Linked DNA regions of Oreochromis niloticus. The protein of the gene in region 2 purifies or fractionates together with the protein of the main gene of each other region. This does not show direct contact. Links are inferred from orthologs where the notes say so. Each region holds a gene or a part of one and is shown on either strand. Other genes may lie near its edges. The genes, in order: nifk and ddx24.

What was found.
Region 1: the proteins of ddx24 (region 2) and nifk purify together in Homo sapiens (affinity purification with mass spectrometry; 3 studies listed by BioGRID and IntAct, counting the BioPlex papers as one, with this or other methods). This does not show direct contact. The link is inferred for Oreochromis niloticus from reciprocal best matches to the Homo sapiens genes DDX24 and NIFK.

What each region holds. Positions count from the first base shown.
Region 1 is NC_031987.2:8,321,512-8,329,052, reverse strand, and holds the start of nifk (MKI67 FHA domain-interacting nucleolar phosphoprotein), read right to left. Parts: upstream 3,296-7,541; 5' UTR 3,180-3,295; coding exon 3,057-3,179; intron 2,446-3,056; coding exon 2,317-2,445; intron 1,777-2,316; exon of another isoform or gene 1,646-1,776; intron 1,572-1,645; coding exon 1,463-1,571; intron 1,352-1,462; coding exon 1,140-1,351; intron 150-1,139; coding exon 87-149; intron 51-86; exon of another isoform or gene 1-50. Other genes in the region: high affinity cGMP-specific 3',5'-cyclic phosphodiesterase 9A, read left to right, coding at 6,431-6,518.
Region 2 is NC_031983.2:11,422,530-11,430,259, reverse strand, and holds the start of ddx24 (ATP-dependent RNA helicase DDX24), read right to left. Parts: upstream 3,200-7,730; 5' UTR 3,060-3,199; intron 2,864-3,059; 5' UTR 2,860-2,863; coding exon 1,992-2,859; intron 1,907-1,991; coding exon 1,484-1,906; intron 1,393-1,483; coding exon 1,239-1,392; intron 501-1,238; coding exon 1-500. Other genes in the region: serpina10b (protein Z-dependent protease inhibitor), read right to left, coding at 4,522-4,713, 4,807-4,954, 5,116-5,389, 5,525-6,125. UniProt on the Homo sapiens protein: ATP-dependent RNA helicase that plays a role in various aspects of RNA metabolism including pre-mRNA splicing and is thereby involved in different biological processes such as cell cycle regulation or innate immunity.

The DNA.
Region 1 (7,541 bases), on a different chromosome or scaffold from region 2:
AGTTATCTGACCCCAGACCACTGAGAGACCCGGGGTCATTTTCAGTCTGCGCCCGACATAAAACCAAACACAATAACCAGACTTACGTCAGTGCACGAAGACACGTTGCCAGCATCGGATGACGACTTCTTCTTAGGAACCTGAGCCGCCTGAAGAGCACAGAGAGCAGTGAAGTTTGTGAGACCTCGAAAAGAACAATCTCAAAACAAAAAAAGATATTCCCGTTTTTGTGACCAAGTAAGTAAGTAAGTAAACTTTATTTATTAAGCGCTTTTCACAGACAGTCAAAGCGCTGTACACAAATATTAAAATAAACAATAAAATCAATAGACATTATACACAATGTAAAAGATCAAATATAAATAATGTAAAAAAATATATATATAAAATACATAGATCAACAAAAGGCTTGTTTGAACAGAAAAGTTTTTAACTGTTTTTTAAAAGAATCCACAGAGTCAACCAAGCCGAGTTGACACCGATCTAACAGTCTAACGGTCCTGGACTGCACACAGTATCTGAGGCCTGAGGTTAAAGAGAATCTGCTTTGACTTTCTGGACTGTTGCTCAGACAGAATAAAGAGTATGAAGACACTGATCATAGTTTTCACTGTTTATTGTGCAGGGTTTCTACTGCAAGTCCCAGCAGCCCGCAGGCTTAAATCGCAGCACATCACAGGATTTCATATTTTGAAAGCCTTTTTTCTAAAGCTACAAACAACCATGAGTTTAGTTTGTGGCATTTATATTTGAAGTGGGGAGATTCCTGCAGGGAATGACTCGTAAGAAAGCATGAGGGTAAAAGTGTGCATGGCTTCATTAAATAATCTAAAGTTTCTGTAAATAACCAGATGATTTTCAGGGGGACAGGTGGGAACGTTTTTCCAGATTCAGTTGAATTTATATGGAATCAGCAATATTCCAAATTGCTGTTATCAGCCTGTAATTCTCTGAAAATCCTTTTTTGTAAAAACTGAAGCTTCTGAACAGATCACAGCTGCACGCTGTTTGGAATTTAGTTGCAAGAAATCCATTAATTAAATCAGACGCCTTTAAATATGCTGCCATGTCACGGCACACTTCCAATTTTTAAAACCTAAACCCGTTTAAAGTTTCCGCTCCAGCGTGTAAACACTTACGAATCCGGGGAATTCGTACTCGATGCCGTATGCGGCGATCCTCTTTCGGAGCCTTGACTCTTTGCGCAGCAGCTTGCCGGTCATTTTTGCAATTTCCTCCTCCGTGTGCTTCTTGTTGTAACGCGTTACTGCGGGATACGTCGGCTTTTTGAACCCTCGCTCCGAGCCAACAAACAGCTTCTCGTGCACCTTCTCGGGAGGAAACACCTGACCTGGGAGAAAACATTTTTTTTTATAAATTTAAATAAACATCAGCTAGGAACTACGACCTTTACAGGAAAACTTCCTGTGAATCAGGATCTAAAAGGTGAACTCTGACTTACATTTGATAAGTCTCTCTCCCATCAGGTAATTATTCATCGTCTCTGCAACAATCTTCGCCACTTCATCGCAGTCAAACTCGATGAAAGCGTAACCTTTGCTGTTACCAGTCTGCAAACAAACAGAGAGAGGAATAAAGTGACAGTCACAGATTCTGCCCTCCAGATGTTTTCATTCCCTCCAGTGTTTGTTGGCACATGGGTTTTATCACTCTGATAACAGGCAGAGCAGGTGATAAGCTTAATGTACCAGAGTACTCTAGGCTCAGTTATCTGACCTCAGACGACTTTTACATCTGAGATCATTTTCAGTCTCAGCCAAAACTCCAGATTTTAAGAAGTGGAGCTTCAAACAGGCTCCTGCCTGGACTTCTTAAACCAAAATAAAGGAATCTAAATGTTTGCAGAGAGTGTGCTGGTTTCAAGAATGGCGATCAAGAAGTTCCTCAACTGCTCCTGCTGAACACGGAGCTGTTGGGAGTCAGTTTTATTACTTTGTTACTGCTTTCAGGAGACAAATCCATGCAACTTTTTACCAAGTTATAGTTCAAAGGTCATTTTTTGCTTTGATGCAACATGTGGGCTCCTTTTCTGGTGAGTTATACCCAAGATTTTTATCTGGAAGTTTCTGTTCTGGCTATGAGGCCTCAAACCACACAGTCTAAAATCAGCCTCTCAGTGACTCTAAAGTTTTATCCAAAAAAAAAAAAAAAAAAAAAAAAAAAAAAAAGACTCCAAGTGAAGTTTGAAGGAAGTGATACATCACTGCAGGAGCTGTGAAAGTTTTACAGATGCAGTTGAAGATTCTGATTGCGCCTCACACATTCACACGTTTGTTTCCACATGTTCAGGGTTACCTTCTTACTGCGGGACAGCCGCAGCCGCAGGATCTTCCCAAACTGACCGAAGTAAGATTTGAGCTGAGGCTCCACCAGGTTTCGGGGCAAGTGGCTGACGTAAATCACTCCTGGGGTCAGGCGGTTCGCCTGTGATGGGGAAAAGACAGATCACGACATTACACAGAGAACTGGGCCTTCACCTGTGATCAGATTGTAATACGATATAATGCACAGACTAAATTACGAAAAACAAAATGCGATACTATAAAGATTTATTTTTCCCAGACCGGCTTTTAAAAAGTCTACAAAATAAAAGTACAAAATAAATACAATTTATATATATTAAACATACAGATGTTCACCTCATTTACAGATTTTCTTGTTTAAATATCAGTTTACATTCAGTTTGGTCACATTTCTTTGGGGCCAGTTCTCTCCATTTCTTTACTATAATAAAATTAATCTTTCTCTCAGTCCGTAAACTTAATAATTTGAGACAGGATGTCATTTTTTCTTCTTTTTTTTTTAAAAAAACGGGCCTGCCTTACATCTGTAAACCTGAGTAAATATGCTGCACGTGGGCCGACTGACAGAGTAACGACCACGAGCCTATAAAGGTTTGACGGCACCTGAACCTGAGTTAAACACAGACTACAGAGAGAGACATCAGCAGTCTGAGAGTAAAGTCAGCGACAGTAAACAGGAGGAAAATAACTGCAGACTATCGGGTCTCCTTCAGGGCCACATGTTTCACCCACCTTGCCTGATTTCTTCTTCTTCACCTCCTGAACCTTCTTCCTGAACTCGGACTCCTGTGCAGGATTCAGCGCCAGCAGCTCTTTGGCCGCAGCAGGAGCCGCTTCGGCGCCACTTTCACTCATTTTTCGCTGCTGGAAGCTACAAACGCCACATAAACTGAGACAAACACTCACTTAGCCGTCCAAAAACCACGATGCTGCTGCTGATAATGACCCACATCCGGCTGCACATGCGCTGAACACCAACGAGTGACGGAGAAACGCGTCACGTCTGCAGCTCCGCGCTCTGTGCAGCGACACCTACAGGCGCGGAGGTGAGTTTGTTAGTCGGTTTCGTCTACATTAACTATTTTCACGCTCAAAAAAGAAAGAGAAAAAAAACTCAGTAAAAATGAAGCAATGTTTTAATTAAAGGAAAGTGAAATTAAAAAAAACAAAGGTTTATTTATTATTATTGTTCCTCTTTAAGAATATTTAACCCTCTACTGCATGACTTTTTAATTTTTTGGGAAAAAAATATTTCTCCCTATTTTGGGGGAGCTTTAGGGTCCCTAATAATATATCAATCATAAAATTTGACACCCTGCCCCCCCCCCAAACAGATATTGGTTTGTTGCTTCAAGTTCAAGGCAACACTGTGTGACAAGGGTAGTCAAACACCAAGTTATTCTATAATAAGTTTTATTAGTACAACAAGGATGAACAAATAAATAAACAACAAAAAAACAATGTAAACATTTCACAGAACAATAAAACACCAAAATACATCCAACATTTGACCCTAACCCCATGCACACACACACACACATGTTGTATTTCCATCACTTTTGGGGACATTACATTAACTTACATTCATTTCCTGGAGACTTATCCTGACCCTACCCATCACAAGTCCCTGCCTGAACCTTACCCTAACCCTGACTCAAGCCTTCACCCTAAAATTGAATGATTTACCTTGCTATTTGTCCCCATAAAGTAGGCAAGACCTCACAATGTGAGTGTGTAAACAAATTTGTGTCCACACAACAATAAGTAATACACGACCACACACACACACACACTAACACACACACAGACACAGTTACTTTACCAACTGACCCCTGAGCTCCTAAGTGTCTCTCAAACCTGATTCAGGGATCCACTCCTCTACTTCACTGTCACTCCCTGAAAGCTCACTGTCCTCACTTTCTGAGGACAGAAAGTGCTCATTCCCTTGGTTTCCTTCCATAAATGGTTTTTACATCCATGTCTTGTAATTATAAGAAGATTGTAAAGTAAAAAACATTGACTATGATCATATAAATGCACACAAACACATCTCTACACACATATTCAAATGCATTATATTGCCTGAAAAAAAATAGGCTAACTGCACAGTGTTGCCTTGAGGCAACGAAGGGAAAGAGGGAAAATTTTCCTGGTATATTTGTATACCAATCAACTACATTTAATTTGACCATATTCATTTAAATTCAACATTTTACTTTGTATTTATTTAACAAAAAAAATGGAAAACTTTGCAAGTAATTGGATTAAAGTCAGAATTTTCAGCTAAATCTTTTTTTTTTTAGTGTATTCTTCTTCTTCTTCTTCTTCTTCTTCTTCTTCTTACAGGGGCGATCGTGGCTCAAGAGTTGGCAGTTCGTCTTGTAATCGGAAGGTTGCCAGTTCGAGCCCCGGCTCCGACAGTCTCGGTCGTTGTGTCCTTGTGCAAGACACTTCACCCGTTGCCTACTGGTGGTGGTGCCCGGTGGCGCCAGTGTCTGGCAGCCTCGCCTCTGTCAGTGCGCCCCAGGGCAGCTGTGGCTACAATGTAGCTTGCCATCACCTGTGTGTGAATGACTGAATGTAGTGTAAAGCGCTTACAAATACATGTTGATTTCCCCCAAATATAGCTGATACTACTACTAATGATGATGATAATTATCATCAAAATTTTCTCATAATAATAATAATAATTATTATTATTATCATTATTATTATTATTATCATTATTATTATTATAGCTGATACTACTACTACTACTAATGATGATGATAATTATTAGTAGTAGTAGTATAAGCTATATTTGGGGGGAAATCAACATCACATTTTCTTATATGATTATCACTTCTTATGTCTCACCTGGCTGTATGCATCTTTACCTCTAAAGTTTGAGAACCACTACATTTCTATTCATAAGAAACATCTCATAACAATTTTAATTATGATAAAAATTCCTGCTTCAAACACCAATCCTAAGAATGGAAATAATAAAAATGTGTAAAACTGAAAAAAGTAATTGTGTAAGCATCATATTTTATTTTATAAGGTTTCATACATTTTGGTGCAAAGTCTTAAATTACAAAAAAGATAAATATTTCAAGGAAAGAAAAACACATTTGTGCAAAAACTGAAAATTTGAATAAATTTGAAAACAAATGCAATAAATAAATAAATACATAAAAATGAAATATATTGAAATGAAAATGAAAGAAAACTTAAAACTGTGGAGAATAAAAGCAAAAATACAAAACTCTGAACTAAAAATATATAAAAGTCAAATTTTAAACAACAAACAAAAATAAACACATATAAAAGTTTTCACATTTAGAAAAAAAAATGGCCATTTTAGGATTAAAGTTGAAATTTCGACATTAAATTTAATTAGTATTTTGAGAAAAAAAAAGTCTAAATGTGGAGATTGTGGTTGTTGTTTCAAACCAAAGGACTGCCATGGCTCCTATACCTTCTATAAAATTCTTAACATGATCTTAATACTGTTTCATAGCATGTGACTACTACTGTATGTACACAGCATCACAGCATAGGGGAACCCTGTAAAGGCTGAACATGTGCCCTAACAAATGAGCCGCAAAAAGCTGATATCTGATCACATGTAAGCTTTATATTACTTCAGTCAGATTTAAAAGTATTGTCTCCAGAGAAACCGTAACTCACTCTGAGGTCGAGTTCAACTTTGACCCTTTGAGTTAAAAAGCAACAACGTGCACTAAACAGCAGGTTCGCTACAGCACTTAAATCACAGCCAAAAACACTCTCATTGGTTATCTCATTCTCAGTTTGGCTCTATAAAGACCATTCTCTCTTTCTTGTACACCATGTTCACCTCTGTGCCCTTAATTTGTCACCCACAATTTGAGAACCACTACTGTAATCACTTAAAAAACACCATCATAACCTTTGTAATTGTTATAAAAATCTAAATTTCAGGTGAATACAGTTGGCTGTTGCTCGGAGAAATGTTGGAGTCAAAGGCAGGGAAGGAGGAGGAGCTTAGGAGGAGGTGGAGAGGGGGTGGAGTGGAGAGGAGATAGACATCAGAGCCAGTTCAGCAGTGCACACAGCAGCATCAGTGGGTTTAGATTCATGACATGGAAACAAAAGTCATCTACTTCACGGTGAACGGGAGACCGGAGCAGGCGGAGTTCCCGGTCGACTGTCCGACTCAGGACGTCAAAGGTAGGAGCCAAAGCTGAAGTTTATGTTTCATATGATCAAATGCATTCTAACGTGTTGTTTTGGACAAATGAATTAAAGTGGAATATTCTTATGCTTAGAGTTCAGGAAATACTCTTCTGTGACTAAAATCAATAAAGCAAATTTGATAAATGGAGCAACATAAGACAAAGCAGTCTTTGCTGCAAATACAGCTGCCACTGACAGCTCCTCACCTCTCACAGCAGCTTCAGCCTTTGGCATCATGGTCTCCACGCACATTACATACTGCAGATCTTACTCATTAGAACAATGCTGTAACTGCAAGCAGTGTTCTTACTTAATTTAGATGACTGCATTTAACTTCTATTGTACTAGTCGTTGAAGTTTACTTTCCTATATTGAATTATCTGAACATTGTACCTGCATAGTTGTAAACACTCGTTCCACTTAATTTGTGCTTGATTTTTCTAAACAGTTCTGCAGTGGGAAGCTCAGATTCGAGGCACTGTCAAAAATGTTTACCTTTACATCGGTTGCGGGTTGTTTCTCTTGGATCAGTGACCATGACATCAAAATCTGTACAAAGAATACATAAAAATGTAGTAAAAATGCATTCAAATCCCCTAAAAACAAAAGATCAAATAAAACACAAAGTCTTTCTTTAGGACTTCTTTCATAGAAATGAGTTTTTGCCAAGTTACAATTAAAAGTATCAAAGGCTTTGAATGTGCTGAAGATGGCCCAGAGGAAAAGGATGTTGATTATCAACTGGAAAACTTGGATCACACCTTGGATACTGAGAACTTTACAAATATGAAGTGAAACGCACAGAAATTGTATCAATAACCTAAAGAAAACAAAGAAATCAATAAAGAAATAAAGAAATCAATAACCTAAAGAAAACAAAATGCAAGAAAACTTTCAAAATAGCTCAGATTAGACAAAAAATCTAACTCTAAATTAAATGATTCATATCAAAGTTGGTTAGTAATGTGGATGTGGTTATATATATCTGTTCATTTGAATCACAATTCCTGGACTTCC
Region 2 (7,730 bases):
CGAACCTCTCCAGGTTTTTCAGCCGTTGTTTCTGGTGCATGTTGGCATGTAGAGGCAGTGGTGTACAGTCTAGTATAACCAGCAGAGAATTCAGCCTCTTTATACAGTCAATACTGTTGGCAAACACCATGGTGCGCCCAGGATACTGGAGCAGGAAGTAATAGAGGTAGAAGTCCTTCTCATCTTTCTGACAGTGGATCTGAGTCTCAATCAGTGTCTCCACAGTTGCCTCCTTCCTGGTGAGGTCAACGACTTTGGGCTTGGACTTAATCCCCACTTTCTCCATAAGAATTTCCAGCTTGTTCCTCTGGTCCAGATTCTTCTTCTTCTTTTGAAGGAGGCGAGTGGGAAGGCTGTGAACCATCGTCAAAGTGGCAGAGAACACAAAAGTTTGCCTAGTGGGATTGAAGTGTGTCGTATTTAGCATTTCCAGCAAATTCTCCAGCTCGGCAAAATGCCCTCTTTCTACCATGCGATCGGCTTCATCAATGACCAGGCACCTGTGTCATAAGAAGAAGAGGAATTAAGAAAGGATAACAAAAATCTAACAAATAGGCCTGCCTGAAAGACTTTATCACAGAACACCGAATCACTGATCTATTGCTCAAGGCTCTTTCACACATGATATGATTTGAGGGTTAAAATCAGTGTCAGTAATCGGGTGAAGGAAAAAAAAAAACCTTATTGTGGTATTGTGATATTTTGTGTGGCGATATTGTATTGATACAGGAACACCAAATATTAATATTTTATTAAATACATTAAAATACTCTGGGAAAACTTTGAAAAGAGGGCTCGATTCACTTGATAGGAGGCACCCTTCCTACTAACAGGTGTAGTCTGATTTGGACTGACTGCAATCACTCTGCAAATAATTGTTATCTAATATATGAAACCAGACAGATAGCCAACATGTTTCCATGAGTCTGAATGAGTCTTTCTCAATGTGCACAGTTCATCAACTGGCTGCCAGCTGGTTCTATTTTGGGTATATTCTTATAAAACAGGAAGGTTGATGAGCGCAAGTTAAATGTTAGTAAAATAAAGTAAAATAAAACATATATTTAACTTTAGGAAATAACTTGCAGTTTAAAAAAGGTGACATATTTTATTGGAATACTCAGCATATCACAAAATAATAAAAATCATGATAATATCATATCATAAGTGAAGCGCTGTGATAATATTGTATCGATTACCACCTCTAGCAAATAAGTCAGTCTTAAATTAAGACTCACCTGAGCTGCCTGAGGTTGACCAGATGTGGGTGCCTCTCCTTGATCAAATCCCACAAACGCCCCGGAGTTGCTATGATGATCTCTGGCCTGCGTTTCAGCACTCGTCTTTGTTTCTGCTGTGCCATTCCACCCACCACTAAGGCTGTTTTTATATCTGCACAGCAGGAAAACATTAGCTATGCTGACATTTATAGATCTCTTAGAAGAAAACTGCTATCGTAATACTCTGATGAGCTATGACTTACCTGTGAATTTTGCGACAGCATCAATATGATGTTTGACCTGAACAGCCAGCTCCCTGGTGGGAGTGAGGACCAGTCCTAAGAGGGGTCGACTCTGAGCACCAGCGGGTTTTTCATCAAAATCAAAGTCTGCATTCTTGATTACCCGAACACATCCAAGCTGTTCATCTTCTACATCGCTGTGTTCATCTTCATCCGAGTCTCCTTGATTCTGATCCTCAGCATCTTCATCGTTTTCTTTAGAAGCCTCCACTCCCTCCTCTTGGTCCTCTTCAGCTGATTTTGTGTACTCATCTACAGATGGTAAGTACAAACTCTCCACCTTTGTGACTGGTTCAGCGTCATCATTAGGTTTTTCTGGGCTATGCTTCCACTCCAGGATGGTATGGATTATGGGAATGCCGAAAGCCAGTGTCTTGCCACTTCCTGTAAGTACAACATCCGTATTAGCTTCACTTTTAAAAATCTGTGAACAGAACATTACACTATAAACCTATCACTTTTATCTTACCAGTTTCAGCTGCTCCCAGTATATCCATACGATCCCTGATAGCTGGAGGCAAACACAGGGCTTGGATCGGTGTCGGTGAACCAAATCCAAGACTGCTCAGTGCCCTCAGGACAGGTGGGGGGACAAACAGGTCCTTCCATGCACTCATGTCAACATTTTTGTCTTCAGAACCAGAAAGTGCAGCGTTTGTCCAATTCTTTGCCTTCTTGTGTGGGGCCTTTGTCACTTTATTTTGACCGGATTTTTCTTTTTCCAGATCTGATGAAGACTCTGGGTTTGGCTGTTCTTCTGGGACTGTATCCTTCACTGTCTGCTGCCCTTTCCCCTTTTTCTTCTTCTTCCTGCTCCTCTTTGTATCTTTGGGATCAGCAGTGATGGCTGCAGAATCATTTTCATCGCCCTCACCTGATACCTCATCCTCTCCTCCCTGCTCAGTGGCAGCATTATCCTTCTGCTTTACGTCTTCTGCAGAAATATTTTCCGACTCCTTTGCAATGCCTTTCTTGTTTTTCCTCTTCTTCTTGGCTTTTTTCTTCGCTGGCTCACTTGTGCTCTCCCCCTCTTTGATCCCCGAGTCTCCTTTCTCTCCAGCCTCCTCGCCGTCACCAGCTTTTCTTTTCTGTGCTTTCTTCTTCTTCTCCCTTTTCAGCTCTTTTGCTGCTTTGGCCGCAGCCTGCTCACTGTTTATTAAACGGTAATCCGTGAGCTCTTCGAAACACACCAGACCCTCCAAGCCCTCCTCGGAGAAGACGCTGGGATCGAGGTCTATGGTTTTCCATTTGCCTTTCATGTCGATGCAACGTTTCGCTGGCTTCCCCAGCCCGGTGGACATGCCTTTGTTTTTCGCCTTCATCTTCTTTGTCTTCATTTTTCTGAAAAAAAGTAAAGGTGTAAAATAAGTGACTTTAGCCGACCTCGTGAAGTTCCTAACGTTTAGTTGTTAAAAGCACACGTGCACCCCACGTTTCTTAACGCCAGCGGACAACTATTAACCGATAATTAACAGAAACTAAGCGTACAAAGTCTACAGTAAACTACTAGTTGAATTAATGAGTACTAAAGTCTTACCTGGACTGAGTGTAGGCTCTCTTAGACTTCTGCTACGATTACATCAACGCGAGACACGAGGGCGCAGCCATGACAGTGTTGATCACGTGGTTTGAAAAACTTTATTTAAACAACAGGCGCTGTTTCAATTTCTCTGGTCATTTTAACCCCTTATACCGCCTACATAAACGTTTATAAAAATTTAATAAACGTTTAAATAATACCCGAGGATGTCAAGGGTTTTAGTTTATCAGCTTTCATTTTAAGGATAATACGCTGTAATTTCTTAAGGTGTATTGAAGTTTGTGCCGAGGGAGTTGCTTCACTACAGTAGTATTTATTATTAGTAGCAAATATAATTAAAATTATTTTTTAATGAAGGTTGTACCTGACAAACTAGCATATAATCTAGTACATAAATAAATAAACGCATTTGTGGAAAACAAAGTTTTCATTGGGCTCTCTGCCGTCCTGTAAAATAAAATAAAATAAAATAAAACAACTACACCCTTATGTTTCAGGAGCTTGCGGAACCACCTTTAACGGCGTATAACTGAAGTAATCGCTTGTTGTGTGACTCTCTGGGAGTCTCCCACATCATTGTTTAAGAATTTTAGCCCACTCTTGCTTCAGTTCTTGAAGGTTGCAGGCATTCATTTATGCACAGCTCTCTTAACGTCCTGCCACAGCATTTCAGTCGGGTTGAGGTCTGGACTTTGACTGGATCACTGAGTCAACATCTTGATTCTTTCCTTCTTCAGCCAGTCTGTTGTAGCTTTGCCCAAACCTGCGATGTTCTGTTTCATTACACAATGAAATTTGATCATTTGACTCACTTGTATACAAAGAGTTCACCTATGACTCAATGACCACAAAATGCCAAAAGTCCTTTGGTATGATATGTTGTGTTTGGTTTTCACAAAACATGGCGTTGTGCATTGTGCACTTTGGTCTCATCTGTCTGGTTTTCTTAGATGCAACTTTGAAAACTTTAGCCATGCTGTTTGATTGTACTGTCATGAACATTGTTTAACATGCAAACTGAGACTTGTAGAGTAGGTGGTGTGTGTGTGTGTGTGTGTGATCAGGTAAATTAAATAAATTTGACTAGAGTTCCTCTTTTTAAAATTACTGTAAGCAAAATCTTTAAGGCAAAAGAAAACTGTTTCTTTACAATTATTATAGTCAGCCGGTAGCATCAGTTTAATAACCTGATAAGATGTGCATTATTAGAACGTGGTACTGATGTTTTGTTTAATTTGTCGATTAAGTGATTACATTTATGCTGGTTGTCATAATTTGGAGATGTACGTACATTTAAAAGATCCAAGTTTGTGATGCAGGTGAAGTTTTTATTATTATTGGTGAAGTATGTTGTAGGAACAGAACAGAAAAAAAAAGCTTTAAACTGTCTGGGATTAAAACATCCACCAAATTAGTCATGTAGAAGCCACTTAAGAATGAACACATTACAGTGGCAAAACTATTTGTTGGTGGGGTCAATCACCCTCCCCATGAACAGCAGGCAGTTTGTGTTTTCATGGTATATGAAGAAGAAGAAGGGTCTGTTTATAGTGAAGGTCCTCGGCAGGGAGTATGGAATGATACCCATTGTTGTGGCAGCTGCTGCAGTTGTTCCTGTCTCATCCACGTCAATCATGGCCTTGTGAAGCACCTACAATTTCACAGCAAGGTTAAAAGTGTTTTGCTGCACTATTTGGCGAACAGGCACATATGTTGCTACATGACAGTGAAAGTGACAACTAACCTCTGACAGCTTGAGCCCTTTGTCCTCACTGAGCTTTGTCAAATTGGACAAATTACTAAAGACACTGGTCATGCCCATATGCGGTAGAAGATTATGGAGGGAATACGACTGCTCCATGTTGAATTTGGGCATCTTGACTTCCAGTTTCCTGCAAACAAGACATGAGTTGACATGTTGAATAGACTGGCTCATCTGCTGCTGCAGGCATTGTTTTATGGTCATTTACACTTTTGTTAACCGTTGCTTTTTACAGCTAAACAACAAAATATGCAGACTCTTGGTTAAAGCGAGGCATTTTTCCTCACATACATTTTTCTCAGTTTTGCGATCCAGCTCTGAAACCTCTCTGCAGTAATCTCATCATCCACCATAGTGTAGTCCATGTCTGGGTTGGGGAGCAGGATAAGCATGGAAACACCCTCTTGGTATGGCAGTTTCAGCACTTTGGCTCTCAGAGAAACATCTTCTGCAGTGTAGTACTTGTCTTCTTTAAACATCATAGGCACCTGCACAATATTATAATTATCGATGTAGAAGGGTCCATTTCGAGTGAAATTGGAGTTGAAAGGCATCTTCCAGGCTCCTGTGGAGGAGGTAATATTGTACGTTTAGTTATAAACAAAACAGTTCATAGGTGCAGACATGAATATTAGTATAATTAATAGCACATAAACCCATAAACCCAATATCTAAAGTGTGCAAAAAAGATTTAATTTACCTTGAAAGAAAATTGCATTCATTAACAGGAGTTTGGTCTGTTCGTCCAAGGCTGAAATCATCTCTGTAATCTTGCCTTCAGTCTTGTCCCTAATGTACTCATTAATTACTCTGATACTCTCTGTTGTGTCCGCAAAGTCAACAGTTTTGATATCTGCATTAAAAAACTTATTGATTTTGGTTTCAAACTCCCTCTCTATGATAAATTGGGGTTGGATAAACAAGGCCATGCTATGATCAAATTTCAGCGATCCATTTTGCGTGACGTTCTCGTGAAGGAGTTGAAACAGTTTAGGGATAAGATCCGGCTGGTCAGCCCTCTCCAGCGCCTCCAGGTTTAGTACCTTCAGGATCTCCTTGTGTGTGACACCATCAGAAGCCATTAGAAGAGCCGCAAAACTGGTAGAGATACTCAGGGGGGAAAAAAAGATGTTCTTGTCATGGTAACTGGATATCTTTCTGTAAAGGTTCATGGCAAAGTCCATATTTTTGAAGGAGAGATCTGAGATGGTGGCACTGTTAGGTCCAGCTTGGTGGATAGGAGTCAGAAAGCACAGGAGGGCCACAAAGAAAAAACAGGCCATCTTCATTTTGTTTAACATCAAAATTAGAACCTAGAAAGTTTTGCGTGCACACCCAGAAACGAGAAATTAAAAACAAAAAGCACCACTGTACAGCAGCACAATCACTAAATCTACAAAAAATATAAGATTACACCAACTGAATACTTATTTCTGCATTATACTTAGAAAACGCTCTGAAATTTTGTATTTAAGTTTAACAAAATAACACCACGTACCTTTCAGCTTGGCCCAGATTGTGCCTGAAATTTCTCTGTATTTTTTGGGGGGAACAAAGTGCAAGTGTGCTCTACATGTTACACATTAACCACAAAAAACGTATTCAGAGGTGAATCCATAAGAATCAATCGATAAGTAAATGAGACACGAGAAGCATTGGGAGTGAATTTCACTTTAATCCTGGAACGAGAACCAATATATTAAACAAAAGAATGTGCTGTTCTAACATGAAGTATAACAAAAATAATGAATTTAAGAACACAGTGAATAAAATAATAATAAAAAACCCCCCAACTACCAACATTTTCTAATTTTTCACAAGTGCATTTTAAATAGAAAAAAAAAATAGCAGATCCAAAGGAAACAGAACAGCAACAAAATCTTGGAATCTTCTTAAAAATCATCCAGCACAATAAGCCAAACTTTGCATGACATCCAACATGTTAGTGAAGGCATCAAGACACATTTGCGCTGAATGGTCAGTTCAATGTTCTGAATGAATGTAAAGTGTTTTAATGCTGTAGTTTGGTGTAGTCACGAGGACAGATTCTCACTTTCAGGACATTACGGTCCTGTAGAGAAAAATAAGTGAGAATAAGTCAAATCAACCACTTCGTCAAAGGGTAGGTGATGTGACACATTTGTTTTTTTTTTTCCATTTTCAAGGTCATAATCAGCAAATAAATGAAACCAATGAATCTTTGATTTTCTAACGTGTGCCCCCCCCCCAACCCCCCAACCCCCCAAAGACCAAAAAAAAAAAAAAGAAAAGAAACCAAAACAAGTCTGGAAATGCCAGAATTTTGGCTTGTGTGATCATACACTGCTGGAACTACTCATGTTTACATGATGCTTCTTTGTTCCCCACTTATTCTGGACAAAAATAAGAAAAAACAATGCATCAGTGATAAGCAATTTAAATTCAGCAAAAAGTCCTACACAATTTTTTTTCATCAATCTGATCAAAAAGGACAAGACACCCTTAAATTGTGTCTGTAAGCCTTGCCTAATCATACGTTTCATTATGCCTACATGCATACTTATAAGTAATAAAGCCACGACATCCAAAATATGCAGCTCTCTAAATGCCTGGGGAGACCACCTGTAGACTGTCATGTATTGAGGTTGATGATGTAAAGAATAAATAACCCACAGATGTTAATGCTAGTAAAAGTTTTAAGAAGGATCTTTTATTCTGGTAATGTGCACGTTTCTTTTTTCCACATTATCACATTTTGTTCTACACACACAAGTCTACTATAAAAGCAGGACTCACTGTCATTGGCCCCCTTTTTAGAACACCTCTTCTTTTCAATTAATCTGATGACATCTAATTCAGACTCCATGTCTGATTGAGCACCCTGGTCACGTTTCTGTATGAGCTGCAATGGCAAACTTAATAGGTCA